Linked DNA regions of Sus scrofa. The protein of the gene in region 2 binds, or shares a complex with, the protein of the main gene of each other region. Links are inferred from orthologs where the notes say so. Each region holds a gene or a part of one and is shown on either strand. Other genes may lie near its edges. The genes, in order: MEAF6, MBTD1, EPC1, MORF4L2, MORF4L1, RUVBL2 and ING3.

Evidence for each region.
Region 1: MBTD1 (region 2) and MEAF6 share a complex: the UniProt entries of both Homo sapiens proteins name them as parts of the nuA4 histone acetyltransferase complex. The link is inferred for Sus scrofa from reciprocal best matches to the Homo sapiens genes MBTD1 and MEAF6.
Region 3: MBTD1 (region 2) and EPC1 share a complex: the UniProt entries of both Homo sapiens proteins name them as parts of the nuA4 histone acetyltransferase complex. The link is inferred for Sus scrofa from reciprocal best matches to the Homo sapiens genes MBTD1 and EPC1.
Region 4: MBTD1 (region 2) and MORF4L2 share a complex: the UniProt entries of both Homo sapiens proteins name them as parts of the nuA4 histone acetyltransferase complex. The link is inferred for Sus scrofa from reciprocal best matches to the Homo sapiens genes MBTD1 and MORF4L2.
Region 5: MBTD1 (region 2) and MORF4L1 share a complex: the UniProt entries of both Homo sapiens proteins name them as parts of the nuA4 histone acetyltransferase complex. The link is inferred for Sus scrofa from reciprocal best matches to the Homo sapiens genes MBTD1 and MORF4L1.
Region 6: MBTD1 (region 2) and RUVBL2 share a complex: the UniProt entries of both Homo sapiens proteins name them as parts of the nuA4 histone acetyltransferase complex. The link is inferred for Sus scrofa from reciprocal best matches to the Homo sapiens genes MBTD1 and RUVBL2.
Region 7: MBTD1 (region 2) and ING3 share a complex: the UniProt entries of both Homo sapiens proteins name them as parts of the nuA4 histone acetyltransferase complex. The link is inferred for Sus scrofa from reciprocal best matches to the Homo sapiens genes MBTD1 and ING3.

What each region holds. Positions count from the first base shown.
Region 1 is NC_010448.4:93,564,592-93,568,848, forward strand, and holds part of MEAF6 (chromatin modification-related protein MEAF6), read right to left. Parts: intron 1,663-4,257; coding exon 1,470-1,662; exon of another isoform or gene 1-1,469.
Region 2 is NC_010454.4:27,523,153-27,528,046, forward strand, and holds the start of MBTD1 (MBT domain-containing protein 1), read right to left. Parts: upstream 3,149-4,894; 5' UTR 3,011-3,148; exon of another isoform or gene 2,690-3,010; intron 2,082-2,689; 5' UTR 2,018-2,081; intron 2,009-2,017; exon of another isoform or gene 1-2,008. Other genes in the region: UTP18 (U3 small nucleolar RNA-associated protein 18 homolog), read left to right, coding at 3,429-3,818. UniProt on the Homo sapiens protein: Chromatin reader component of the NuA4 histone acetyltransferase complex, a multiprotein complex involved in transcriptional activation of select genes principally by acetylation of nucleosomal histones H4 and H2A.
Region 3 is NC_010452.4:42,853,078-42,857,334, forward strand, and holds part of EPC1 (enhancer of polycomb homolog 1), read right to left. Parts: intron 2,477-4,257; coding exon 2,331-2,476; intron 1,918-2,330; coding exon 1,711-1,917; intron 1,297-1,710; coding exon 1,148-1,296; intron 19-1,147; coding exon 1-18. UniProt on the Homo sapiens protein: Component of the NuA4 histone acetyltransferase (HAT) complex, a multiprotein complex involved in transcriptional activation of select genes principally by acetylation of nucleosomal histones H4 and H2A.
Region 4 is NC_010461.5:84,552,813-84,556,604, reverse strand, and holds the end of MORF4L2 (mortality factor 4-like protein 2), read left to right. Parts: intron 1-64; 5' UTR 65-169; intron 170-418; exon of another isoform or gene 419-514; intron 515-1,283; 5' UTR 1,284-1,307; coding exon 1,308-2,174; 3' UTR 2,175-2,835; downstream 2,836-3,792. UniProt on the Homo sapiens protein: Component of the NuA4 histone acetyltransferase complex which is involved in transcriptional activation of select genes principally by acetylation of nucleosomal histone H4 and H2A.
Region 5 is NC_010449.5:48,059,495-48,063,751, reverse strand, and holds part of MORF4L1 (mortality factor 4-like protein 1), read right to left. Parts: intron 2,238-4,257; coding exon 2,121-2,237; intron 1-2,120. UniProt on the Homo sapiens protein: Component of the NuA4 histone acetyltransferase (HAT) complex which is involved in transcriptional activation of select genes principally by acetylation of nucleosomal histones H4 and H2A.
Region 6 is NC_010448.4:54,260,113-54,264,358, forward strand, and holds the end of RUVBL2 (ruvB-like 2), read left to right. Parts: intron 1-87; coding exon 88-211; intron 212-567; coding exon 568-662; intron 663-764; coding exon 765-883; intron 884-2,026; coding exon 2,027-2,146; intron 2,147-2,522; coding exon 2,523-2,652; intron 2,653-3,025; coding exon 3,026-3,140; intron 3,141-3,268; coding exon 3,269-3,294; 3' UTR 3,295-3,380; downstream 3,381-4,246. UniProt on the Homo sapiens protein: Possesses single-stranded DNA-stimulated ATPase and ATP-dependent DNA helicase (5' to 3') activity; hexamerization is thought to be critical for ATP hydrolysis and adjacent subunits in the ring-like structure contribute to the ATPase activity.
Region 7 is NC_010460.4:25,947,662-25,950,690, reverse strand, and holds the end of ING3 (inhibitor of growth protein 3), read left to right. Parts: intron 1-172; coding exon 173-211; intron 212-1,667; coding exon 1,668-1,784; 3' UTR 1,785-2,235; downstream 2,236-3,029. UniProt on the Homo sapiens protein: Component of the NuA4 histone acetyltransferase (HAT) complex which is involved in transcriptional activation of select genes principally by acetylation of nucleosomal histones H4 and H2A.

The DNA.
Region 1 (4,257 bases), on a different chromosome or scaffold from region 2:
ACTCTGAAATAGGCAAACAATTCTTTCTTTTAAAATGACACTAGGGTAAACTTAATAAAAGCAACACAGGACATGATCTTTTTATCTTGACAATTAAAAAAAACTTTTAAGAGTATGCTTCTCTGCTGTTTATGATTAAGCTAGTAGCATCAGTCCTTTCACAGTGACCAAATTCACTATAGCCTTACCCAAAAAAAAAAAAGGTATGTAATGTTGGCTCTTTCTTACTGCACTTATGAGACTGGCATGTGATTTTTGGTTTGCAGAAAAATGTGAAGCAGCTGTCCTTAGTCACTATCTGGAGAATACACTATTCCTACAGTCTAAAAACCACCACCACCAGACAAGAAAAGCTCTTAAAAGAATTAAAGAATCAGTTGATACCAAGGAGGCTTACACCCGTTAAGAGTCAATTCTCTGTTATCCCTGTGTGCCACAGCCACCAAGCTAACATTAACACCCTGCAAGTGTGAAGGAATGTTTTATGGGACAAGCCAGCCCAGAAGCAAACTGGAGGACACGGAACCCCACCCAGTCCTTGCACGCCCCCTTTCATATCCTCGGCAGGTAGGCTCCTAAGTGGGGCAGGAAAAAGCCAGCCTACTGAGCATCTGGTTTTCATGCCTCTCAGAAGAAGGTTTGGGGACAAGAATCCTGCCTCCAGAAACTATGCATTACCCTCTCTGAGTGCAGCTGTATAATTTCCAATTATCTAAGCTAATAGGCCCTGGAACTATCATACTAACCCTAAGCAGGGGGACACGTGACCTCTCTGGCTGTCCCCTGACATCTCTGCCCACCAATGTGATTCCTATCTCATTACGCACTGCAAAAAAGAAACAAAAAAAACAAAAACAAAAAAACCCAGCAGACCAACATTATCTAGAAAGGTGCTCTCATATCTTACAGCCTTTAGACTGTTCCTGTGATACTAAAATCAGTATATTGTAGTGATATATAAAAATTTAAAAATCAGAATCAAAAAACTTGTATTTAACAAGAAAAAAGGCATGTCAGATCAGTTTTCTCCATCTTCCAGGGAATAAGAATAGGCAGGGATCAGCATTAAGAGCAAAAGACTTATCCCACTTTGCCCTTTCCCGATACATACTAGTGGCATTTTCCAAATGCTAGTACAGAGATTCCATTCTACTTCCCTTTTCCTCCTCTAAAAAGATTTCAGAGTCACTGCATTAAACAAAAGTGTCATGGAATCAAATCTGTCTACACTAGAAACAGTGAGAAAGTTGTCTTCCTTCGGAGTTACTCTGATACCCACCAATTCCTCCCTTAGAGAGAGAAAAATGAGCCTGTTTCCCTTGGACCACATGAATGTCTCCCCATCAGCAACAGAAAGACTGCACCAACCCCAAAGAATGTTTATTTCAGTAAAGTCCCTTCACAGCAACGGCCATGGAAGCTCTAAGTGTGTGGGGCTGGGATGGGTAAAGGTGGTCCCTGCCACTGACCTGTGCCGGTTTTTATTCTTCCGTTTTTTATGGCTGCTGTGATGACTCCCTGAGGAAGTAGAAGAAGCAGCCTTCTGAGGTTTCACTCCCTGCACAGATCCATCCAGATCCTCAGGGTCCTCCTGGCTGGGCTCGTTTTCCTGATTGTGGAAGTCAGGAGAAGTATCACTTTCCGTCCCACTTCCTGGTTCCCCTGGAGGGAATAAACACAAATCCCCCAAAGCGTCATCAGTATTCTCAGGCAGCCTGTCCATCAAGTCAGGAAAGATGCTTTCTGAGCCCTAATACACAGAAGACTATCCCTTATCCTCAAGGACCAATTGACAAGGAAGATACATACAGTCAAAGCATCAAAGTTACCAGAGGTCCTGAAAAACCTATAACCTGAAACAGTGTAACCAGAGGCAACAGATGATGGACAGCTGGGAGAATGGACCACACAACCAGGATAACCTCATAGGATACATTAATGGGATTCATAATTATAAGAGAAGCATTACAGAAAACATCACATAAATCTTGGGAGGTGAGAGATGACCTTGGGAAAACGCCCTACAGCTGGCCCTGGTTCCTTCCCTAAACCACACAGGAATCCTAACTTCCACCAAGAAAACAGGCCCAAGAGAAGAGCCCCATTACCTAAGTTACTCTCAGAAGCCTTAAGAATGATATTTTTAATGGTAATAATAGCCTTCAGATGATACATATTCCCAATTTAAAACATCCTTTAGATATACTAAACAAGCAAGTTCAAGAACAATTTATATAAACACATGTTTTTTAAGAAAAACTACATATATATATATATATATATATTTTTTTTTTTTTTTGGTCTTTTTGCCTTTTCTAGGGCTGCTCACATGGCATATGGAGGATCCCAGGCTAGGGGTCTAATCGGAGCTGTAGCCACTGGCCTACGCTAGAGCCACAGCAACATGGGATCTGAGCTGCATCTGCAACCTACACCACAGCTCACAGCAACACCGAATTCTTAACCCACTGAGCGAGGCCAGGAATCGAACCTGCAACCTCATGGTTCCTAGTCAGATTCGTTAACCACAGAGCCACGACAGGAAACCCATGAAAAACTACATATATTTTGGTAAATGTATACTTTTTCTTTCTGAAAGGAAATTCTTGAAACTCTTAATACGAAAGGATGGGGGAAGACTTTCACTTTACTGAACTGTTGAAGAATCCTAAATGTGTACATTACCTATTTCTAAAAATTGTTAAAAGAGGTTACATGAACAGCAGGACCAGTGACCAGCTTTCTTCTTTTTATGTTTTTATATCATAAACTGCCGGGAAAGATTCCAAACTGAGTAGCACAGGGATACGAGAGCTAAAAGATGCAGGCCCCAAAAAGCAGGAGAAAGCAAAGAGAAAGCAAAAGGGATCTCAGCCATCATGAAACCCTATTTTTGAAGACTTCATGAAACCAAGAAAAGAGAAGAGTTCTAAAACTATGAAGCTAGATAAAATAAACTGATCAATCCTGTCCTGAAGTTTAGGAAAACAGATTTCATGTAAAAATTAGCAAAAGAACCTCACAACTTATCACACAAAGCTAGAGTAACAAGACTGTGTAGTAGTGGCATAAGAACAGACCATAGGTCAAGGGAACAGAATTCAGCGTCCAGATATAAATCCTTACATTTATGATCAACTGATTTTCAGTGGTGACAAGACAATTCAATGAAAAAAGGATAGTCTTTTTGACAAATGGTGCTGAGATCACTGAAGCCTGCAACCCTATCTCACACCATATACAAAAATTCACTTGATGGAGTTCCCATCGTGGCTCAGTGGTTAATGAATCCGACTAGGAACCATGAGGTTGCGGGTTTGATCCCTGGCCTCGCTCACTGGGTTAAGGATATGGGGTTGCCATGAGCTGTGGTGTAGGTCATAGACACAGCTTGGATCCCGAGTTGCTGTGGCTCTGGCGTAGGCCAGCAGCTATAGCTCCGACTAGACCCCTAGCCTGGGAACCTCCATATATGTATGGCTGGTGAGGCCCTAGAAAAGACAGAAAAAAATAAATAAATAACTTGAAATGGGAGTTCCTTTGTGGCGCAGTGGGTTACAGATCTGGCATTATCACTGCAGCAGCTGGGGTCACTGCTGCGGCGCAGGTTCGATCCCTAGCCTGAGAATTTCCACATGGTGCCGGCAGAGCCAAAAAAATAATGACAATAATAACTCGAAATGAATCATAGACCTAAATGCAGGAGCTATAAAACTTTTAGAATCCATTGGATTAGGCAAAGGTTTCTTAGCTAAGACCACAAAAACAAGCATGACAGAAGAAAGTATATGTAAAGTGAACCATATCATTCATATAAAACTCTTGAGCTGCATGTATCACCAAAAAAAAAAGTAAAAAACCCACAGTGGGGAGGTAAGGGCAAAATGAGTAATGGGGAGTTCCCGTCGTGGCACAGTGGTTAACGAATCCGACCTGGAACCATGAGGTTGCGGGTTGGATCCCTGGCCTCGCCCAGTGGGTTAACGATCCAGCATTGCCGTGAGCTGTGGTGTAGGTTGCAGACGCGGCTCAGATCCCGAGTTGCTGTGGCTCTGGCGTAGGCCGGAGGCTACAGCTCCGATTCAACTCCTAGCCTGGGAACCTCCATATGCCGCGGGAGCGGCCCAAGAAATAGCTAAAAAAAAAAAAAAAAAAAAAAAAGAAAAAAGAAAAAAAATGAGTAATGGAGGTCAACTACACGGTAACAGGAGGAAACTAAACTTGTAGTAGTGAGCACGCTGTCGTATATACATAAAA
Region 2 (4,894 bases):
ATTTCTGCATAAAATTAAAGTGGCCTTGGAGAGTTAAGAATATCCTACTGTTAGAAAGCATATCTTAGCCTTGTTTAACCATTATTAAGTACGTCCTCTTTTATGGGCCTGATGTTTTTATCTTTCGTTTTTCAAATCCTGGACAGACGACATTTTACCTCACCTACCTTAACGTTATAAATGTGGAAAAGTGAAATCTTATTTAGCAAACATTTTAAAGATGAAAAACTCAGAAGCAAGAAGCAACCAAATGAAGTGACTTGTCTAATTTTAGGATGTGGTCATTCAAACCACTGAGAACTCTTGGCTTTTGGTAACCTAGCGGCTTAGTATTTATGACATTAATATGTTGTTTTCACTTCTAAGCTATAGTTTTACCTTCCTTTGACTATTGTGTTACATTTAAAACAATTTAAATTCCAAGGTAACGAAGGGTTTGAAGCCTCTGAACAACCAAGAAGGTTTTTACAGGAATTAAGTCAACATATAACCAGCCATGAAAATACAATGTAGTGTCTTCTTTAAAAATAAAACCAGTCATTCCTGTCTAGTATGTTTGGAATGCAAATGTCTCCAAAGTCACTCAACTTAAATCATGACAGTTCACGTTTGAAGGGAATAGGAACTTGAAACTCCACATTAATTAACACTTTCAGGACACAATTACACAGTTCCATTAACTTTTATCAGTACCTAGTATTCAGTCTCAGGTTAAATCTTAGTGACTAGATTTAGAGAAAATATCACATGTCAAAGTGTATATGAAGTTAAAAATTGGACAGTTAAAAGATATGGTCCAATATCAGATATTTAAGAACAGATACTTATTCAAGACAGTTTTTGCCATACTGTGCACCAGAACCTTGGAGTATGGGCTTCTACATAAATAGAAGTTCTTGTTATTCAGAGAAGGAGGTGGTGCAAAAACGGACAACTATTTTCTTTCTCAACACTCACTGGTGTTGAAGTAAATAAACAAACAAAAAAACCCAGTGTAAATACATTAGAGCAGAGAAACAGTCTCCGAGTCATAAAAAGGGGGAGAGACAAAAATTTCTGTGCTCTAACATTTTAAACAGCAGACTGGGAGTTCAAAGTGAAATTTACTCTCTGGCTTTTACAACCAATTCATTACTTCGACATTTTATCTGTTATGTCTTCACTCTCACTTAACCATATTAGGAAGAGGAAAACATGTGCCCCCAAGATTCCTATGCCAATAAAACTACTTTGGAAGCAACATAGCTCACCAAATGAAGAACATCAAAAAAATGCTAAGTGACAAAAGTAGAACTGAACTATCTCAACTTCTGAGTGATAATCCCTGGAACAGGTTAATGCAAGGAGCATAAAAAATATTGCAAACTCTACGCAAATGTTAAAGAGTTGCAAAAAACTCAAATATCATAAAAAACTGGAGGGAAAAAAAGAAATAAACGAAAGTACTGTGAAAGGAGGGCGCTGAGAAGGAAGCTTGATTGAAGCACACAGGTCAAAGGGAGGTGGGGAGGGGGCCTGCAGTACTTCCGTTCTCCTCTCTACCAAGAGGCAATTTTAGGCATTCTTAAGTGATTGAGGCAACAAGACATGTGCTTTGAAACAGGAGTACTACGGAGATGGTCTTGAAATGTCCAACTTAGAGAAAACAACCATGAAATCCCCAGATCATATTTCTCAAGCTTCCTGTAGAAAAATATCAACCATGCTCACACATCGAAGCCAGCTCATTTGACCTCATCTAGACAAGTCTTCAGACAGCCCTCACTCTCTCTCCAGCCCGCCTTCCTTCACTTCCCTGCTGTTGCTTTCCTGGCACACAAAATATAGGCCAGTGAACGGTGGGTGGGTGAGGAGGATGTGAGAGAAAATATGAGAAGTAAAAACGGAATCCACTTAACAGGGACATTAATGAGTCTCATAAGGGCAGGCCAGCAACAATCAGAAGTGAACGGAAAGGGCTTTCCTGGGAAGCAGCGAGCGCGTCTGTAAGGGTTGGGGCAGAGGCCAGGCTACCTACCACTTTTCAGAGAGGCTGCACGGGGGCCGGCTGCCTTGGGTGACCTCTACTGTCTCTTCCGACTCTGAAATGTTAGGATTCTCATTTCACAAAAGGGAACGCGACGGTCATAAAGCCCTCCGACTTAGGACCCTTGTAAATAGGCTGCCTCGTCGGCAGCTTCCCAAACACCACTCCCACCTCTCCCTCCCACACGTGCCCACCCCGCCCCCTTTCAATTTTTCCACCTCCACGTGCGAAACGCCTCGCAGCACTCGCCCCACAGCGGAGAGCGCCTTCCCCTGCAAAGCACCGAAACTCTGCCCCCCTGGGAGAGGTGAGGCGTCCACTCTGCGACCCTGAGCGGCCAAAAAAGGAACTCTCAAATCCAGTCTGCCCCCCTCGCAGCCAGAGCTGAAGGAGGAGGGGGGCGGGACGCAAAGAATAACTTTCTTCTAAAATTTCTCGTCCAGAAAGCGGAGGAGGGGGGGGGGAGAGAGAGAACCCCGAACAGTCCGGGGCTGAGCGGGTGGGGGGAGGGGAAACCCCCTCTCCCCGCATCGTTTAACGGCCGGCAGGGGGGAGGGGGACTCCGGAGGTGAAGGGGGCGTGGGATGGAGAAGCAGGCCAGGGAGCAGGGTCAGGGAGCTGCAGGGGTTCCTGAGGTTGGGGAGCTGCGGGCGTCCCCCCCACCTGGCACACAAAGCAGCTGCCGCGCTCGGCTCTCACCAGATCCTTTGTGTTTTCCATCAGGGCCTCATGGGTAGGGGTTGTCCGTGCTCCCCAGGCCCGCGGCGCCCCCTCCCGAGCTGGGGGCAGACGCCTCTGCCCAGAACTATGGCGACTACAGGGGGGGCCCCGGATGGGCCCAGACCGGTGGCAGCTGCGGCAGCCCCCGGATTTCCCCCCTTTAACTCGGGTGGCCCCAGGATATCAACAACATTAGCATAGCCCTCCCTCCCTAGCGCGCCTGCGCCGTGACCCGCGCCCCGATTGGCCCACTTCCCTACATACCCTCCTCTCAGTCTTCCAGCATGGGACCCTCTGCAGGCTCCGTACTCCACGGGCCGTACCAAGACGAAGGGGTGGAAAAGGCAATTGGGGCTCGTGTAAGTCAAGTGGTTAAAAGTCAGGAAGGAAAGGAGAAATTTCATCCCGTCACCTCAGTTTATACCCTAGCATTCTTGCGTTCCTTTCAATCACTTGTAGCTGCGAAGTTGTGTTGGAAGAAAATTCCCACTCCAGTTACGACGCTTCCCCCTCTACTCGGAAGATTGGTCCTCCCGGAGGAACTCCCACACGGGGAGGAGCTCTTGCGGGGAGTGGGCGTTACGTAGAGCGAGAGAGTGTTGGTCACGTGCTCACAGGCGTTGCAGGCTCTTTCCGGCCTCCGGCAGCCCCAGCAGCAGCGGAAAGCGAGGGGCCTCGGCGCATGCGCAGTGAGGTTCCACGTGAGCGCCCGCGTTCCTTCTCAAACCCAAGGATGCCGCCGGAACGGAGGGGCCGAGCGAGACCGGACAGGACACCCGGAGTGAGACCGGGCCGGAAGACCCAAGTGAAGCCGGGCCGGAGAGCTGGACTGGGGCGGGCTGGGCCGCCCCGAAAGGCTGCTGCTTCATCCCAGCGGCAACCGCCGGCCCCGCCGGGAGCAGCGGCCGCTGCGATAGCAATCGCGGCGGAGGAGGAGAGACGGCTCCGGCAGCGGAATCGCTTGAGGCTGGAGGAGGACAAGCCGGCCGTGGAGCAGTGCCTGGAGGAGCTGGTCTTCGGCGATGTGTTGGACGACGAGGACGCGCTGCTGCGGCGTCTGCGGGGCCCGCGGGTGAGGGAGGCCGAGGCGCGCGGGCTGGGCGCTCGGTGGGCGGTGAGTCTCCAGGGGCGGAGCCTGGGAGACCTGCGGCGCAGAGGAGCTCTCAGGTGGGAGGGAGCCGGGAACGCGGGCGCCCAGGGGTGCCACTCTGAAAGTCTCCGGAGGGCGGAGACAGCGCTTCACTCCCTTGGGAACCGCTTTCCCAGGTATCTAGCAGGCGCTCAATACATACTAATCTGTGTTGAAAGTCTTGAGCATTTTTCGCAGCTCAACCCCATCATCTCCTAAACTCGGTGCTCCTTTCCGCTTGGCCGTTCAGTAGCCTGCCTCAATATCTTGTGATTCGGGGATTCCACCTCGTTTGTGGAGTAAGAATTCATGGGCACGGGCCTGAGAGTCTGTTTTAACAGTTTATCCATATGATAGACTAGCTAGCTTTTGAGAACGATCTTGCCTTCGTCTAGCCAGTAAATCTCTGTGGGCCAGTTTGGCACCAGATACTTTTCCTGGCAATGAGAACCCTGCATAATATTTTTTGCACACTTTTTGCCTCTTTTTTTTTTTTTTTTTTTAAATCCTGAACCTGTTTTTTATTCCAAGATAGGCTATTTCTAGGCATTCTCTAGGCACTGGAAGAGAAGCAGCAATGCAGGAAAACATCCCTTCCTTCTTGGCGCTTTTGTGTTAGTGGTAGAGGCAGAAGATAAAGTTCAGGTATGTCAGTGAAGTGCTGAAGAGAAAAAATAAAGGTACTCGAGAAAGGGAGATAAGTGTGTGTAGAGGAGGCCTATGAAATTTTACATCGGATGGCCAAGCAAAGCCTTACTGAAAATTACTCTATTTGATAAGTGAATATGGACCTATCAAGTATTAGTTGATTGCCAGAACCTTCTTTGGGTGCTTATGGGAGAGGTTGCAGAATCTACTTGGGAGATAGAGAAATACTACTGAAAAAATGCTGAACTGGGTGACAGCTTCCCAGGCAGAAAAAGAAACAGTCTCGTGAGTTGGGGTTTGTAGGGCTTTGGAGGATCACAGGCCAGGAATGGAGCAAGTAGAAATCATCTGGACATTTTTATTTATTTATT
Region 3 (4,257 bases), on a different chromosome or scaffold from region 2:
TAGTCACCCAAATTATACCTGAAATTATAAAAAGAAAGTTTAAAAAGTTAGTTCTACACATACTTATCCTCATGACTACTAACAGCTAACTGAGGTATAACTGCAAACACTGATTAGCCTTAAGGTAAGATTACAGTTAAACCTTGACTATTTGCTGAATGCTTATTAAAACTACAGATGACATAATTCCTATCATTTCTTTCTTTTACTTTTTGGCTTACAGCTTTCTCTCACCATTAACAGATAACTGCAGGAAAAACCCAAAGGTTTAAATTTTAACACAGCAATTTTGGTGAAAGATTTGGGAGAGATGTTGAAATTCATGCCTAAAACAGTGCTGAGGAACTTTCTACTATTTTGAGTTGCCTCTGCTATAAAACTACTTTGGCTGAATGAATCGTAAGAATTTTTTTTTTTTTTTGGCTTAGGGCCACACTTGCAGCACATGCAAGTTACCGGGCTGGGGGTCAAATCGGAACTACAGCTGCTGCCTATGCCACGGTAGTGGCCACTCGGGATCCAAGCTGTGTCTGTGACATACACCACAGCTCACAGCAATGCTAGATCCCCGACCCACTGAGTGAGGCAAAGGATTGAACCTGCACCCTCATGGATACTAGTCAGACTTGCTGCCACTGTGTCACGATGGAAACACCCCATAAGGAATTTAATGGTGGGTTTCTTCGGGAATAGGAACTAAGAACTAGGGGACCGAGGCTTGAAATTTTCATTGTGCACCTTGAAGGATCAGCTGGGTCTTTCCTCCTCCCCCTTTTTGTATTTTTCTGCTTAAAAAACTCACAAAGTGTTTTAAGAAAATTTAGTTCCATCTAGTGAATAAAATAAAAACTTTAGAAATGACAAATGTTCTCTCTCCCTCACAACTCTGCACACAACTCAAGTAAAGGCAAAAGAATATCATTTCAAAATGGAAATGCCTGGCATATTTTAATTTTACTGAACCCAGTCACTTTAAAAAAAAATAGAAGAAAACACATAAAGTTATACAAAGTATATACAGCATGCCACACATTTCAATGGCCTCTAATTATTATTAAAAGAATATATTTCTGGAGTTACAGATAACTGCTTAGGAAATAAATTAACTCCACATACATATTTCTAATGCAGTTAAAACAGACATTACCTCTTTTCCATAATTTCCAGTGTTAAGTGCAATAGCTCCCTTTTACTCTTTTCTCTTCTTTTTATCATCTCTAGAATAGTAACAGCCCGACTTAGATCTCGACGCAGCTTAAGCATTTTTTCATAAGAGGCTTCATCATTTTTGCGATTCTGCAAATATAAATTTGTTTGTTTGATGTCAATAAGCATTTCTAACTAGTGACATTCTGAGTATAGCTTCCGAAATATAAGAATATATATATATTTAAAAAAAGGAATATATAAATATATATTTGAAGGGTTAGATTAGAATTTAAAGACACTGAAAGGGAACATGGATCACGAGGAAATCAATTTTGACTATGGTTTTTAACGTGGATTAAGAGTAACACATATCACTAATAGATCTGTAATGAACCTTAAGGTTGATTCATTTTAAATTAATATTTTTCATTATACTGTATAAAAAGTCTGTCTACACACAAATTAAAACACAACCTTCAGATACTGAGATATTCATAATTATATATACATTTTCTTACATCGAAAAAAAAAATTACAAAAAATGTCCCCAGGATCTCTTACTTTTCGAGTCTGCATTTTTTCAGTACGTCTTCTAAAAGCCACATAAGGATCATTTGTGCTGGAACCATCTCGCTTCTCTTGTTTTACGGATGGGATAAGAGACGGCCCTCGACAGTTTTTTCTCTTTTTAATCCAGTATTCATAAACTTCTCTAATTAATTCATCGTCTTCTTTTAGCAGTAGTTTGGCTTCCTGCAGACTGACTGGCTAAATGTAAAACCATTATGTCATTTTCACATAATACAAATAAAAGGTTCAAAGCACTTCTGCAACTTTAAAGGACAATAATCAAAATAACAGTATTAACCGTGGCAAACACACTGAGTTCGTTACACATGCCAGCCAATGAGCTAGATGCTTTATGTTAACTATGTTATTTAATTTTCCTAACGACCCTGGAATGTCTATCATCTTTATTTTACAGATGGGGAAGCTGAAGCACAGAAATTGAAACATACTGCAGGTCATACAGGTTAGTAATGGGCAGAGATGGGATATGAATTCATGCTTGTCCAGAGCTTGCTCTCTCGGCCCCACCCAACATCACGCTGTTTCCATATAAAGAGATATTTATATAGACATATTCACACACACTTAATGCATACACAATGAAGCTGTACCTGCTGACCACTGCCTTTTTCTAGACGGTCAATCATTTCCTCAAACTGCAATGGGCAGATGTCCATTTTCTTCTTCAGTTTATTCACAAATACTTCATCTTCAGAATCCAAATCATAATCGGGCTGTTCAGCATCCAAACTAAAAGCTGACAGAAGAAACCATAAGCAATCACTTACTGTGTGAATACACGACAAAAACCTTCCACAGATGTGTGGATAACTTCTAAAAGATATAGGAAAGATTTTTTTTTTCAGACTCACAATCTAAGCTCATTAAATTTAAGATCATCTTTACTGTTATGATAAAAGTGATAAAAGACAACCCCCCAAAGCAAACAAACTAGAAGCCCATTATTAAGAACATAAAGAGACTGTTAACTACACTGGGTTGAACTACATGAAAATTTTGTAGCTCAAAAATGATAAAGTATCAGCAATTTCATATAATCTCACTTAATAAAAGAATGAGATCTTTAAGTAAGATGTTTCTAGAATATTTAAGTCCTATTTTATAGCTTATTTAACTACTTAACCAAAAGCTTGGGGAGTGCTATTTAAAGCTGAAGTGTTAGAAGCCACTGCCAATAACAGTAAGAGCTGTCACTCAGTGAGGTTTGTCCCCTTATGAGAATCATTGTCATGGTGAGAGAAATATGAAGTATTCCTAGGACTGTCAAAAAAGGGGCAAGTGGAGTTTCTGGGGTGGTGCAGCAGAAATGAATCCAACTAGGAACCATGAGGTTGAGGTTCCATCCCTGGCCTCGCTCAGTGGGTTAAGGATCTGGTGTTGCTGTGAGCTGTGGTGTAGGTCGGTAGCTGTAGCTCCAATTAGATCCCTGGCCTGGGAACCTCCATATGCCACGGGTGCAGCCCTAAAAAGCAAAAAAAAAAGGGAGGTGGGGCAAGAACCACTGCTTTATACTATACCATCAAATGTCACCCAATTATTTATCAACATTAAACTAGTTTGATAGTAAAATAAGAAGCTTGGTATCAAAAATTACCTCACATCTTCCCCTTGCTTTGATCCTCCTCCTACCTTCTCATGACCCTCAAGTCCAAATCCTTAGAATTAACAGGTCCTTTTGGACCCAGCCTGGCCCTCTCACCAGTACTTTATGATCTAGCAACATCGAATTTCATACATTTCAAATAGCATGCTATTCCTTCAGGTCTCCAGGCCTTTCCATGTGCTATTTTCTGCTTGTCCACCTAGCAAATGACTATTCTTTCCAAAACTCAACCTGACATTAACTCCAGTGGAATCCTTTCTTGACTGTCCTCCTTCCACCAAGTAATTCTCCTAACCACTTTTATCTTTTTTAGAAGCTATGAACCCTCTCCCCAGAAAAACAGGAGGTATAAACATAAAAGATTTTGTATAAATTATAGACAATTCAAATGTCCCTAAAAGCTTGTGGCACCAAGGCAAGAAATTCCTGTTCTAGACGGCTCTCCTTCTTCTGTACCATTTTTACACATACTTTACAATCTATTTGTTAAGCATTGAAACAGGTTTGATCTCCTTGAGAAGAAGTGTTGGGTCTCGTTTATCTCTGCACCTCCAGTGCAGGGACAGTAAACATGCCAACTGCTCGCAGGGTTCTACTGAAAAGCATCTGGATTTCACTCTATTCAAGTGGAAAAAAGGCCTCAGAAAACCTGCATCACTCGCAGTGATGAGTCATAGGTACAAGAGGAGACTCCCTGGCTGACCCAAATCTGCCATCCTTCAAGGTTAATACAGCATCTGGCCCACAGGAACCCAACAAGTATTTGTGGAACTGAATATACTATCCTACTGCACTGTATTTCATTTTCATTTTGACCTACATCCCACTTCTAATCAACATTCCTAATTAAAATAAATTGAGAGTTCCTGCTGTGGAGCAATGGTTAAGGATCCAGCTGCAGCAGCTCAGGTTGC
Region 4 (3,792 bases), on a different chromosome or scaffold from region 2:
TTTTTCTTTTTCCTCTATTTCACAAAAGTTTGTCTTCATTGCTGATGCCTCCTTTCCTTTCTAGGTTGTGTCTCCCACCTCATCTTTCCCTACCATCCCAGAAGATCTATAAGGTTCCATCTGGGAAAACACTAGAAGTTCTTGGAAGGGAAAGAAGGAAGAGGATTACGTAAGTCAAAGGAATTGTTTACCCTGTCATACCAGAAGAAGCACAGAACACTGTTTTTTTCATCTTTATCTCACTAACCCTCTCTGCTGCATTTTACAGTGTAGATCATCCGTTTTCCTTCTTGAAACTCAATTCTTTGGCTTAACAAAATAACATTCTCTTAATTCTCCTATGGCTGCTCTGACCATTTTTGTTTCATTTGGTGGTCTCCATCTCTCTGCTGACCCCTTAAATATCATTCTTTCTTAGGTTTTTTTCCAGAATTCTATGCTTGGTTCATCACTGGCTTTATCTCTCACCAATTTATCACCTCCTCCAACAAGCTACTGCTGAAAGTGGTGTTAGGTACCATTTCTTGTTTTCTATCCCCAAATATTCTGTGCCCATAACTATCACTGTACTAACCTTGTTTTATAGTTGTCACTTTGGATATTTGAATCCCTAGCGCCTAACATGGTACCTGTCCTGAAGCTAATAAGCAGTAATATATGATGACTAACTGAGTGGATGTATTAACCTATTTCCTATTATTTGATTACTGATTTCAAACTAACCATAAAAATTAGTGCTTTTATTCATAAATTACCCAGGCTTAAAATTGTGGAGCCACCTTTGACTCCTCCCTCTCCTTCATTTACCAAGTTCTGAATTCAGTTTCTTCTTACTCTGTGACAGCCTAGTTGAGGCCTCCCTGGACTTATACAAAAACCTTTGCTGTTACTCATTTTGCGTCCAGCAACCTAAATTTATCATTCTTGTTTCTTTTATCTTATCATTTTTCCTGTTCAGAAGTCTTTAATTTCATTTCTGCTGCCCTTTGTAGTTTAATTCTTTCTCTAAAATCATATTTCTGTCTTTAGAGTGGCATGGAAAAACTAATTTATGGGCAGGTCTGATGAGCGAGTGGGTGGGCTGAGAGTAGTGGGAGAGTGGTAGTGAGGATTAAAGAGAGAAGGAGGAGGTAGTAAATCACTTACAATTAATTGGTCCTGAAATAGAATTTGAAATCAGAATTCCAAGAGAGTAGTGTGTGTTGTGCTTTGGTGGGCCTTTATGAAGCAGTGTTAAAGGTCACCATAGAAAACAACCAAGTGAAATGCTTTATATATTACAGTGGTTGGAATAAAAACAGGGTTGAATGAGTTCCAGAAAGCAGGGTTCTCAAACTCGTGGACAACAATCTGCAGAAGAAGACAACTTCAAAAAACCAACTAGAAGCAATATGCAGAGAAGTAAGATGAGAGGAGCCTCCTCAGGAAAGAAGACCGCTGGTCCACAGCAGAAGAATCTGGAAGCAGCACTCCCCGGCAGGTGGGGGGGTCGCTCTGCAGAGACCCCCCCTTCGGGGTCCGTGAGGAAGACCAGAAAGAACAAACAGAAGACCCCTGGAAATGGAGATGGTGGCAGTACCAGCGAAGCACCTCAGCCACCTCGGAAGAAAAGGGCCCGGGCTGACCCCACTGTGGAAAGTGAGGAGGCATTTAAGAATAGAATGGAAGTGAAAGTGAAGATTCCTGAAGAATTAAAACCATGGCTAGTTGAGGACTGGGACTTAGTTACCAGGCAGAAGCAGCTCTTTCAACTCCCTGCTAAGAAAAATGTAGATGCCATTCTGGAAGAGTACGCAAATTGCAAGAAATCACAGGGAAATGTTGATAATAAGGAGTATGCGGTTAATGAAGTTGTGGCAGGAATAAAAGAGTATTTCAATGTGATGTTGGGCACTCAGCTGCTCTATAAATTTGAGAGGCCCCAGTATGCCGAAATCCTCTTGGCTCACCCTGATGCGCCCATGTCCCAGGTTTATGGGGCACCACACCTACTGAGATTATTTGTGAGAATTGGAGCAATGTTGGCATATACGCCCCTTGATGAGAAGAGCCTTGCATTATTGTTGGGCTATCTGCATGATTTCCTAAAATACCTGGCAAAGAATGCTGCGTCTCTGTTTACTGCCAGTGATTATAAAGTGGCTTCTGCTGAGTACCACCGCAAAGCCCTGTGAGGGTCTCCTGACCGCTCGCTGTTATGTCTGGTATCTGTAAACACTCTTTTTGTTCTTAGTCTTTTTCTTGTATAATTGATGTTCTTTAAAATTGTTCATGTATAACAGGGCTTATGTTTCAGTTTGTTTTCTGTTTTATTCTAAACAGAAAATAAAAGGAGTGCAAGCTCCTTTTCTCATTTCAAAGTTGCTACCAGTGTACACAGTAATTAGACAAAGAAGAAACATTCAGTAGAACATTTTATTGCCTAGTTGACAACATTGCTTGAATGCTGGTGGTTCTATCCCTTTGACACTACACAATTTTCTAATATGTGTTAATGCTATGTGGAAAAATGCCCTGATTCCTAGTGCCAAAGGTTCAACTTAATGTATATACCTGAAAACCCATGCATTTGTGCTCTTTTTTTTTTATGGTGCTTGAAGTAAAACAGCCCATCCTCTGCAAGTCCATCTCTGTTGTTCCTTAGGCATTCTATCTTTGCTCAAATTGTTGAAGGATGGTGGTTTGTTTCATGGTTTTTGTATTTGAGTCTAATGCACGTTCTAACATGATAGGGGCAATGCATTATTGTGTAGCCACGGTTTTCTGGAGAAGTTGATATTTTAGGAATTGTATTTCAGATCTTAAATAAAATTTGTTTCTAAATTTCAAAGCAAATAATTTGCAATGTGCCTTTCATGTCCCAGAGGTGGAGAAGTCAGCAGGCTTAGGCAAGATCTAGATGGTATTAAAGGAGAGAGTTCTAACTCCTAGTGAAAGAATTCCTTTTATTATTGGGTGTCGCATCCAGGAGTATGCCCTGTCGGGCCAGTCCCCTTCCTTTCCCCTCTGTGTGGCTTCTCAGGGTGGGATTGTTTTCTAGTGCTGCTTGTCAGAGCCACTTTTGTTCCTGGTGCTCCTGTCCTTTATGAGTTGGGCTGGTGTAATTGGATATACTGTAACAGTTCCTTATAGGAGTTCCTTTCATGGCTCAGAGGGTTATAAACCTGACTGGTATTCATGAGGTTGCGGGTTCAATCCCTGGCCTCACTCAGCAGGTTAAGGATCTGGTGTTGCCTTGAGCTGTGGTGTAGGTCGCAGATGCGGCTCAGATCCCACATTGCTGTGGCTGTGGCGTAGTCCGGCACCGGCGGTTCCAATTCAACCCCTAGCCTGGAAACGTCCGTGTGCCACAGGTGCAGCCCTAAAAAGAAAAACAAAAAACCCAGTCCCTCACATTTGTTCAGATCTTTGCTCTTTCCTTCCAGAGGAAGCCTAGGCAGCCGCCTTCAGTGTTATATCAGAAATACCTGGGAGTTCCCGTTGTGGCACAGTGGTTAACGAATCCGACTAGGAACCATAAGGTTGCAGGTTCGGTCCCTGCCCTTCTTGCTCAGTGGGTTAACGATCCGGTGTTGCCATGAGCTGTGGTGTAGGTTGCAGACACGGCTCGGATCCCGCGTTGCTGTGACTCTGGCGTAGGCTGGCGGCTACAGCTCCGATTACATCCCTAGCCTGGGAACCTCCCATATGCTGCAAGAGCGGCCCAAGAAATGGCAAAAAGACAAAAAAAAAAAAAATACCTGCAGATTTGGGGCTAAAGACGGCAGCTTTCCTATCTCTAGCATTGATGCC
Region 5 (4,257 bases), on a different chromosome or scaffold from region 2:
GGTGTAGGTCACAGACGCAGCTAGGATCTAGCTCCAATTCGACCCCTAGCCTGGGAGCTTCCTATGCCACATCTTCGGCCCTGAGAGTCCAAAAAAAAAAGCACAAGAGCAAGGCATTAGCCTAAGAGCCCCTAAGCAATTATCCTTACAGTATAAAGATATCAAAAAGAATGTTGAATTTCCTTGTGGTGCAGCAGGCTAAAGATCCAGTGCTCTTACTGCAGAAGCTCAGATTACTGCTGTGACTTGGGTTCCATCCCTGGCCTGGGAACTTTCACATGCTGCAGGGGTGGCCAATAAATAAATAAATGAATTTTAATTTCAAAAAAATAAGGCACAGGAATCCATAATAAGCTGACTTTAAATTAAAGAACTAGGAGTTCCCATCATGGCGCAGTAGTTAACGAATCCAACTAGGAACCAGGAGGTTGCGGGTTCGGTCCCTGCCCTTGCTCAGTGGGTTAACAATCCGGCGTTGCCGTGAGCTGTGGTATAGGTTGCAGACGCGGCTCGGATCCTGCGTTGCTGTGGCTCTGGCGTAGGCCGGCAGCTACAGCTCCAATTCGACCCCTAGCCTGGGAACCTCCATATGCCGTGGGAGCGGCCCAAGAAATGGCAAAAAAGACAAAAAATAAAAAAATAAATAAAAAATAAATTAAAGAACTAAAACTGGTTAACTTTGTTACAAAGTTATGTAATTCTCTGTGTCTTAGTTTCATTACATATAAAATGAGGAGTAACAGTACCTATCTCATAGGATCATTATGAAAATTATACATGTAAAACACTTGAAAGTTTGACACAAAAAATAAACACTCAAAGGTATGTCAGACACATGTATCTACAATACTCTAATACCACCTAGATCAACTCAGCTAAGACTGTATATTGAAGTGTTACAGGAAGTTCCCTTGTGGCACAGCAGGTTAAGGATACAGCATTGCCTCAGTTGTGGTGCAGGCTGCTAATTGCAGCCTGGGTTGGATCCGTGGCCCAGGAACTTCCACATGCTCTCCCCTCCCCCAAGTGTTAAAATAGTTATTAAACCACATCATCTTTTTTTTTTTTTTGTCTTTTTGCCATTTCCTGGGCTGCTCCTGCGGCACATGGAGGTTCCCAGGCTAGGGGTTGAATCGGAGCTGTAGCTGCCAGCCTACGCCAAAGCCACAGCAACACGGGACCCGAGCCGCGTCTGCAGCCTACACCACAGCTCACGGCAATGCCGGATCGTTAACCCACTGAGCAAGGGCAGGGACCGAACCTGCAACCTCATGGTTCCTAGTCAGATTTGTTAACCACTGTTCCACAACACGGAACTCCAACCACATCATCTTAAACCTTCACTCACGAATACACCTACTTCCAACAGATAGCCACAAGAATGCCTTTCTAAATAACAAAAGGTAGAACCAACCACTCTCTTAAAATATCTAGTTGCTAAAGCATTCTGTCACTTGGAAAAGCTCCTTCAGGACTTCCCACTGTGGCACAGTGGGTTAAGAACCCAAGTGCAGCGGCTTGGGTAGCTGTGGAGGTTTGGGTTCAATCCCTGGCCCAGGAATTTTTTTAGGCCTCGCCTGGGGCATGTGGCCAGGGATCTTAACTGCACCACGGCAGTGACGACACTAAATTCTTAACCTACTGAGCCACAAGGAACTTCAAAACAAGGTATTTTTAAAATATTTATTTTATTGACATATCGTTGATGTTGTTAATTTCTACTGTACAGCAGAGTGATTCAGTTACACACACATATATATATATATATATATATACACATTTTTTTTCATAATCTTTTCTATTACAGCTTATCACAGGATACGGAATACAATTACCTGTACTATATAGTAGGACTTTGTTCAAAGCAAGGTCTCTGATGTGATTTTTTTTTCCAAAGGGAAAAACAAAGGCCAGGTTATTTCTTAGGGAATGCTGAACTTTTTGTGCAGATTCTTTTCTCCTGCTGATGGAGCTCCTTTATTGACACTATTAGATGTATTCTCAGTTTTTTACTTAATGACTTCCCACCTCTGACCTCTAAGATAGCCAAAAGTAGAATAAATAATAAAATGCAACCCTCAACATGATTTCCTTGAGAAAACTTTAAAACATGCATTTACCTAGAGGTCAGGAGGGGGTGGTGTACTGAGGGAGCTCCTTCAGGAACAGGAAAAAGGGCTACAATATCCTCACGTCTCTTCAAAGTTTTTTCAGAGCGCCTGGGCCTCACAGCACTTCTGATACAGACAGCATAGTACAAAGTAATCTCAGTAACTAGGTGTAGAATTTAGCTTAAACTTTATTAAGATTTATTTATAAATGGAATATTTAAATGTCTGTGTCAGTGAATTCCAATAAAGTTTTCCCCTTTTTAGGGCCACACCCGTGGTATATGGAGATTACCAGGCTAGGGGTCAAATGAGAGCTACAGCTGCTGGCCTATGCCACAGCAACGCCAGATCCAAGCCGCATCTGTGACCTACACCATAGTTCATGGCAACGCCAGATCCTTAACCACTGATCAAGGCCAGGGATCGAACCCTCAACTTCATGGTTCCTAGTCAGATTGCTTCCACTGTGCCATAACTCGAACTCCCCAATAAAGTTTTTAGAAATGTTACCTATTGTGCTTCTGAGAAAGTATATACTATTTATTGAAGTTTAAGAACATTCCAATTTGGAGATTGGGCTTTAGTTATACAATTTTCTAAAAGGAATTGAACAAAAAATGAGGATCTTACTTTTATTTATGTATCTATTTGTATTTGTTTCAATTCTAAATTAAAGGGAGCTAGCAAATTTTTATTTACCACAAGGTTCCATTTAGAATCTTGCAAATTCCAATATAAAATGCATCTAAATAATGACCTTGATCTAAAAACCACATCAATTTTAGAATTTCCTTCACATGTCAGGAGCTGAAAACCCTTGGGGAACTACAGAAAAATGAAACATCTTTTGCTCTGAGGAACATCACTATTAGGGTAGTAACTGAAGGCCAAACATTCCAAAGTTTTACATATTGCTAAAGCAAAAAAGAATTTCAGAATTTTCTAAAGGAGCTTGTCATTAACTCCCAAAGTCACAATGATCCACAGCACTTTGTACACTGCACTAACAACACACTTGCTGTGTATTTGAGTAACTCATCCTTCTTTCTGTATGAGTTTATGTAAAGGCTTCTCTAAATGCTTACTAAAGATCACAATTTTCAAAATTACATGTATTTATCTACATAGTGAATCAACTACAAAAAAACCCCCCACATCCTTGTTAATATTCCTCAATGTCTACAAAAATATTAATAAAGATCTCCAATATTTAGTGCCATTTAAAAAATTCTTTTTCCAAGGAGTAATACACAAAGTGCACCAAAAGCAAAAACAAAATACTATGCAGCTTATGGAATTCCCATTGTGACTCAGTGGGTTAAGAACACAACCAGTATCCATGAGGATACAGGTTTGATTCCTGGCTTCCTGCAGTGGGTTAAGGATCCGTTGTTGCCCCAAGCAGCAGCGTCCATCGCAGATGTAGCTGGGAAATTGCATTGCTGTGGCAATGGATGTAGGGTGGCAGCTGCAGCTTCAATCTGATCCTTAGCCTGGGAACTTTCATATGCTGCAGGTACAGCCCTAAACAGAAAACAAAAACAAAAAAACTGTGCACCCATCATTTATTTGTATCACTAGATAACAACCTAACAAAAAAGTTTATTTTCAAGCAGTACTCTCAGAAAATACAAGCATTTTACATCAAGTATTTCCACAATCTCTTTCTTTTTTGTCTTTTTAGGGCCACACCCGAGGCATATGGAGGTTCCCAGGCTAGGGGTCAAACTGGAACTGTAGCTGCTGGCCTACGTCACAGCAACACGGGATCTGAGCTGCATCTGCGACCTACCCCACAGCTCAAGGCAATGCCAGATCCTTAACCCACTGAGCAAGGTCAGGGATCTAACCTGTGTCCTCATGGATGCTAGTCAGATTGTTTCCACTGAGCCACAACATGAACTTCTCCACAATTTCTTATAAGCTACAAAAGCCACTTAATTTCCAGTCTTTCTGCCACACTCCTTGTCATGTGAAAGTTCCCGAACTGCAGTGACAATGCCAGATCCTTAACTTGCTGCGCCACAATGGAACTTTTAAGCTCCAGTCTTTAAGCTACTTTAATATCTACATGTAATTTTATAGATAATATTACACATGAAAGAGTTAAGCACAAACTGTGACTGCAGCTATTAACATGAAATCC
Region 6 (4,246 bases), on a different chromosome or scaffold from region 2:
CAGTCTCCCCCCGACAGCGCCTTGCCCCCGCCCCCCATGCCCTTCTCTGCCCTTGTCCACGCCTGAACCCTGCCCCTGGTCCCACAGACCAAGTTCGTGCAGTGCCCGGATGGGGAGCTCCAGAAACGCAAGGAAGTCGTGCACACCGTGTCCCTGCACGAGATCGATGTCATCAACTCCCGCACCCAGGGCTTCCTGGCCCTCTTCTCAGGTGAGGCCGTCTGTCCACCCACCCAACCCCCGGCCCCGAGCTCCCTCTTCCCACCTGCCAGTGCCCATGGCGTCCCCGTCTCCTCTGTATCTTTTTCTCCTTCGGTGTGTGGTTTGCCCCCTCCCCACTCCTGCCTGAGTCCTTCTCTCAGGTGGTCTGACGGGGGCGCCCCTGTACCCCCTCTGCCTCTGTTCTTCCTCTCTGGGGCCCCTCCGACTCCCCGGCCCTCATGTCGCGTAGCCACTCCAGTCTGGGTCTCTCTTCCCTCTGTGCCCGGCCTCCCATCTCTCTGGGTCATCGTCCCGCCTCCGGCCCTGGATCCCTGTCTCCTCTCTGACACCCCCCACAACCGGCAGGTGACACGGGGGAGATCAAGTCAGAAGTCCGAGAGCAGATCAACGCCAAGGTGGCTGAGTGGCGGGAGGAGGGCAAGGCGGAGATCATCCCTGGCGTGAGTACCTGGCCGAGGCCACGGCAGGCGGCCCGCGGGGGTTCGCAGGAGAAGAGGGGGCGCGGGAGGTGGATTTCATGTCCCCCCCCCGATGGCCCCCAGGTGCTGTTTATCGACGAGGTCCACATGCTGGACATCGAGAGCTTCTCCTTCCTCAACCGGGCCCTGGAGAGTGACATGGCACCTGTCCTCATCATGGCCACCAACCGCGGCATCACCCGGTGAGAACGGGCGTGCTGGGTGGCAGGAAGGCCACAGGGTTAAACAGGCCAGGGCTGCGGAGCACCTCGTTGGGGAGCTGCGCTGCTGTAGTGGGCTGCCCTCGGGCGCTGGGGCCCGGGCGGCTGGCGTACTTTCCCTCAAACAAAAGCAGGCGAGCGCTCGGGGCTGGTGGGTGCCCAGCTGCACAGGCGCTCTGGGACCCAGCATGCTCTGTCTTTTCTTGTTCCCAGAGGCCTCAAGGTTACAGATTCCAAACTGTGTGCCCAGGCAGGCACGCGGGGTGCTGCAGAGAACACAGGAGTGCTGTGGGTGTTTTCAAATGTTTGAGGGACACCTCGTGACATGAGTCGGGTGCTCTGTAAACCACTCCAATTAAGTCACTTAGATCCAACTACTTAGGAATAAACAGAACAAAACTTATTCCCCTTGGCCCAAGGATGCTAAGGAAAAATTCCTGACAGAGTTCCCCTTGTGGCTCAACAAGTTAAGAACCCAACTACTATCCATGAGGATGTGGGTTTGATCCCTGGCCTCACTCAGTGGGTTCAGGCCATTAGCTGCAGTGTAGGTCGCAGATGGGGCTCTGAGCTGAGCCCGTGTTGCTATGGAATCTGCTAGAGTTCCTGCTGTGGTGCAGTGGGTTCAGGATCCAGTGTTGTCTCTGCAGCAGCGTGGCTTTGATCCTCAGTCTGGTGCAGTGGGTTAAGGATCCAGAGTTGCTGCAGCTGCAGCTCAAGTTCAGTCCCTGGCCGGGGAACTTCCATATGATTCGGGTGTAGCCAAAAAAAAAAAAAAAAGGAATCTGCTGTTTCCTGGCACCTGCCATGTGCAGCAGGGGACAGGACTGTGCCAGTGGAGCTCTGTGTCAAGCAGAGAAGCGGGACCTTGAGCCGCTAATCCCAGACATAGATCTCTAGCTAAATCCAGCCCAGCTCTAGAGGGGGAGGGATGCAGTCAGGGGCCGGCTGTGCTGTCAGGCGGTGACGCCAGCCGGCCGGGAGCTGAAGGCCAAGCGAGTGGTATTTGACCCAGTGAGTGGGCCATGGCGGAAGGGGTGGGGAGGGCTGTCCGGGTAAGGGGAATGGGGAGCCGGGCTGTTAAGAGCACCACCCTGACCGCCCTCCCTTCCCCCTCCTGCCCAGGATCCGGGGCACCAGCTACCAGAGCCCCCATGGCATCCCCATCGATCTGCTGGACCGACTGCTCATCGTCTCCACCTCCCCCTACAGCGAGAAAGACACAAAGCAGATCCTCCGCATCCGGTGCGGGTGGGGCTGGTGTCCACCCTCTTTGGCCCATGGGGACCCCGAGGTCTGAAGGGGAGGTGGCTGGGCCCGCCAGAAGTCCTGCTGGGCTGGGCATCGAAGCAGTGGCCTCTGAGGAGGTTGTGAGGGTTGGAGAAAGGCGGGGGGGTGTTGGTGACACAGCTGGGGGAGGTGAGGGGGAGCCCAGGAGTGGGAGGGTCCGGAGGCCCACCCCAGGTTTAGGCTCAGCCGGTGCCTCAGCGGCCCTTGGCACTCAGCATCCTGTGCCTCTGAGAGTGAGACTCCACGTGGCCCCAGGAGGTGCAGCAGCGCCCCTTGGGGGAGGGCTCTGCGGCAGAGTCTGCACCCTGGCTGACCGCCGCCCCCGCCATAGGTGCGAGGAGGAGGATGTGGAGATGAGCGAAGACGCCTACACGGTGCTGACCCGCATCGGGCTGGAGACCTCCCTGCGCTACGCCATCCAGCTCATTACAGCCGCCAGCCTGGTGTGCCGCAAGCGCAAGGTCAGCGGCTGAGGGCGCCCTGGGGGCTTGGAGCAGTGAGTGGAGGGCCCGCTGGTCCCAGGGCTTTCCCTGGGCCACAGCCTTTCGTCCTAGGACTTGGGTTTCAGAGGCAGGGAGCTTCCGGTCTCTGCGCTTGGTTGCTGTGTCTCCTGGCCGGACGCCCGGGAGGCGCCGGGAGGCGCCGACTGAATAGCTATTGGCTGCACTCCGATGCCGTGAAGTCCCTTTTACAGATGAGCACACCAGGGGTGGAGAGGTGGGGGCCGTGGCCGGGCGGTGGCCCTGCTGGGATTTGACCCCAGGCGACCTGGCCCCAGAGTCGTTGCTCCCGCCCCGGGGGGGCCCCCCCTCTGAGGTCTGGCACCCCCATCAGGGCACGGAGGTCCAGGTGGACGACATCAAGCGGGTCTACTCGCTCTTTCTGGACGAGTCACGATCCACGCAGTACATGAAGGAGTACCAGGATGCCTTCCTCTTCAACGAGCTCAGTGAGTATCGGCCCCGCCGCCCACCGCCGCCCGCCCGCCGGCCCGCAGAGGGAGGGGAGCCCGGCCTGGAGAGCTCGGGCCCTGCCCTCTGGGCCACACCGACCACCTGGCCTTCCTTCTCCCCACAGAAGGCGAGACCATGGACACCTCCTGAGCCCACGTCACCCTCTCCCCCACCTCCCCTGTTTTCTACCAGAGTTCTGACACCGTGACTTTGTATAAAATGGTTCCGAAACTGGGCCCACTGTGTGGGTGTGGGTGTAGGTGTGTACATACGCACGTGCTCACACGCCCCAGCCCCCAGAATAGACAACCCCAGAGTGCAGGTGGAGCAGCCTTTATTGGTGGGGGGGAGCATCTGTGGGCCTGGGAGGCTGAGGCCGGGAGTCCTTAGAGGAAGAGGAGGCCTGGGAGTAGGGGGCGGTCACAGGCCAAGGGTTGGGCTCTGGGACCCCCACAGTCAGAGCTGCTGAGGCGGCAGGGCCCGCAGTGACAGCTGAGAGCCACGGGGAAGGAGACCGTTGGGTCCACGCCAGGCGGGCAGCCAGGGAGGCGGATGGAGGCAAAGCTCAGCTCTCGGTAGGTGCACACCGGCTGGGGCACGGGTGGCAGGGCAGCCGGCAGCACCCGCACCTGTAGGGGGTGGGGGCGGGGCTTGGGTGTCTACCTGGGGCCCAGCCCTCCCCCAAGGTCCCCCCTCAGTACCCCACAGACCCCAGACTCAGGTGTCCAGGGGACCCTCTGTGTTCTCCCACCCACAGGCCCCACTCTGACTCCAACTCCCCAGCCTCTGCCTAGAGGGGCAGGCCACCCTGCCGTCCCGGTGCCACCTCCTGTCTTCTGTGGGCCTGGCCCTGAGTAATCCACCCGGATCTGTGGTGGAGGCGGCACCCGTCTGCAGGTGCCCACCCTGCATAGCTCACCATGCTGGGACAGTAGCCGGCACAGATGCTGGTGGTAAAGGTGATGCAGACAGGGCAAGCCTCATTCTCAGCAGCCAGGGTGGCGTTGATGGGCCGGCACAGAGGCCGCAGTGGCCCCCTGGATGCCCACACCCCGGCCACGCTCAGCAGCAGCCACAACAGCAGTCCCTGGGACAAGGCCAG
Region 7 (3,029 bases), on a different chromosome or scaffold from region 2:
CTCTGAAAAAACTTTCAGAAAAAGACTATAAAGATATAACCATATACCCTATTGTTTAATGCAGTTGTATAGCCAGTGTATTTCCTTCTATTAACCGTATCAAAAGCAATTAATTTGGATTAGGTGCTGGTTTTATAGTCATAATAATGACATTTAATTTTCTTTTAACTAGGTATCCTATGGTGAGATGGTAGGCTGTGATAACCAGGATGTAAGTATTAAATTTTTCTATTTAGGAATGAAAAAAAAATCACAGATTAGTCCTACTTGAATATATATTTTTTTGTTTACTGTGTCAGTCTAAGAAAACAGGTTTGCAGTTACGTTAATTATGTCATATTAATGCTAGAATATTTTTCCCCCAAATAGGAGAGTGTCCCTCAATGTGTTTCCTATTTTAAAGCTAAGGTCTCAGAAGGTGTTTCATTGTAGGAAAATTAGGTAAACCTTCCTCTCCTTTTGCCAAAGAATGCTGTGTTTGCTAGAATTCAGTTCACTTATCAGAGTGAAGAATTGGAACTTTTAGAACAATACATCCTTTCAGGAAGCATGATGCTAAGGTGAAGGCTCTCATGTGCTTATTTCCCTCCCATTAGTGTAGTATTTCCTACTGCTTTGCAGGTGTCAGCTGATAAGAGCCACTTCTGATATAAAAAATAAAGAAGGTTTGAAAGAAAAGAACTCCTATTTATTTTCTATGAAGTTTAATTGGGGTTAGAGATATGTTTTTATTGAATGCCATGAATATTTTTGTCTAGTAATTTCCATTCCCTTCTCACTGTCAGCCCCTTTTTGTCCATCTTTTCCTCCAGAGGGGTAACACAACTCTGAATGTCAGGATCTGCAGGTTAAGGCTAAGAGTTTTAAATGTTTAAAACAGTTTGAAGATTGAGCAGGGTTGGCTCATAAAAATGTGTACTTTCCTAACCAGCCAGGGTCCCAAGACGTTCAGGTAGAGAAAGACTCTCCTTCCACTTTCCTCTATAGACTCTCTTGTGGGTTGTTTATGGTTATTGCAAAACAGTAGCCCCCAGCCATTTCAAGAAGACCATTGTAAACTGTCTTCTCGGGCGGTTATTGAAGATGATGAGTGAGATTTCTGTGAATACCCTGTCAGACTCTCTGATCCCTCTCATTCCCAGTTGTGCTGTTCTCAGTCCTAGGATTTTGCACTTGTAGAGCCACTTCATATATTGAACAGCGGAGTTCTTTTTCTCTCCATATCTAGGAATAGATAGACCCAGAAAGAAACCCAGGGCATCACTTTATGTCTTTCATTACAGCTGGCTAATTTTACTTTGTAAGAACACAAATAAGGCTGAATATTAAATAAAATCTTGGAAATACATTTTGCCTTCTATGTAAGAGACCTGTCTCACTTCTTGTCCTTGTGAGTTGGTGTCGATGTACTCTTCAAATGAAAGTCAGTGAATTTGTGTTCGTTGAGATTATGAGAATAGATTATGTGAAACTCAGCTAAAGATGCATAATTTTCTATGTCTCCATTTCCTTATCTCTGAAACTTATCAGTTGGACTAAATCATCTCTAATCCAGCTCTTCGATCTGAGTCCACACATCTAATCATTAATATTTAGTTCCTGGGCACGTTTTACCATTCTTCCTAGTCTTTGACAAAAAGCTGTTTCTTTTCATGTTTGCTTTCTAGTGCCCTATAGAATGGTTCCATTATGGATGCGTTGGACTGACAGAAGCGCCGAAAGGGAAATGGTACTGTCCACAGTGCACTGCTGCCATGAAGAGAAGAGGCAGTCGGCACAAATAAGGGTGGTCATTTCATTTGAGGAAGAAAACAACTTCAACATTTTATATAGGACTTTAAAAAAGAAGAAAAGCGAAAGAAGAAACAATGCATTTCCAAGCACCCACTTTAAGGATTTACATAGACAATCCTATAAGATCTTGAACTTGAATTTTATGGGTTGTATTTTAATAATGTAAGTAAATTATTTATGCACTCCTGATGTGCTCTGAATATTATTCCAGTTAGCCTTGGATTATTTCAGTGGCCAACATATGCAGACATTTGTACTCCTCAACCATTTTCTCAAAGTAATGGGCATTCTATAATTTACACTTCAATGAATTCCAACGATGAAGATTTTAAGAAAAGTATTTTATATTCAACAGGTATGTTCTGCTGCATGTACTGTACTCCAGAGCTGTTATGTAACACTGTATATAAATGGTTGCAAAAAAAAAAAAAAAAAAAAAAAGACAGTGCTTCTAAAAAGAATTTAAGATAATGGTTTTTTAAATGCCTTTATAATAAGCTTTGTTTCTTTGTGAAACTAAATTCAGCGGGCTGAAGGAAATGGTTCATGTGATAAAGTGGGCTGGTGTCCTCTAGAGTACCTGGGTACATAAACAGAAACTCCTGTAGGTAAAAACTAATCTGTGCCATTAGTCTTTATATGTTTCTGCATCCAGATAGAATGCAGTTCATGAGGGTGGGAGGGGGAGGGGCTGAAGGGAGAGGGTGTTAAAGTGATACATTTTTATACCAAATGTGTTTATTTTTTTGTGCAAGTAATCCTTAAAATTGGAATTGTATTAGGTGTTAAAATAAAGTTTTTAAAAAATTACTTGTATTTATACTTTACACACTTAATAATGAAAATTTCTGAATTCCATTTAACTTCCAATTTTCATAATCTAAAAAGGACAGAGGCCCAGGACACAGAATGCTGCGTAATCTGTTATTTCTTTAATAATGCTTGGAACTTGTGATATGAAAATAAGGGAAAGACATTTTTAATGTAAATTTGAAATGCAAATGTATTTTTCTAGGACATCTCCCTGGCTTTTCCTTCAGTGGAAGGGACATGAAAGAAGTCTAATTACAGCAGACAAAAGGAAAATTATCGTTATAGCTGTTTTGACTTGAGGCAGTGTGGCCAACTTAAGAAACCCCCTGGACTGGAGCTTAAAATTCACTTCTATTTTTGATTCTACCACATGTTGGTATGACAGTTAATTCACATTTTGAGTCACTCTGGGCCTTATTAAA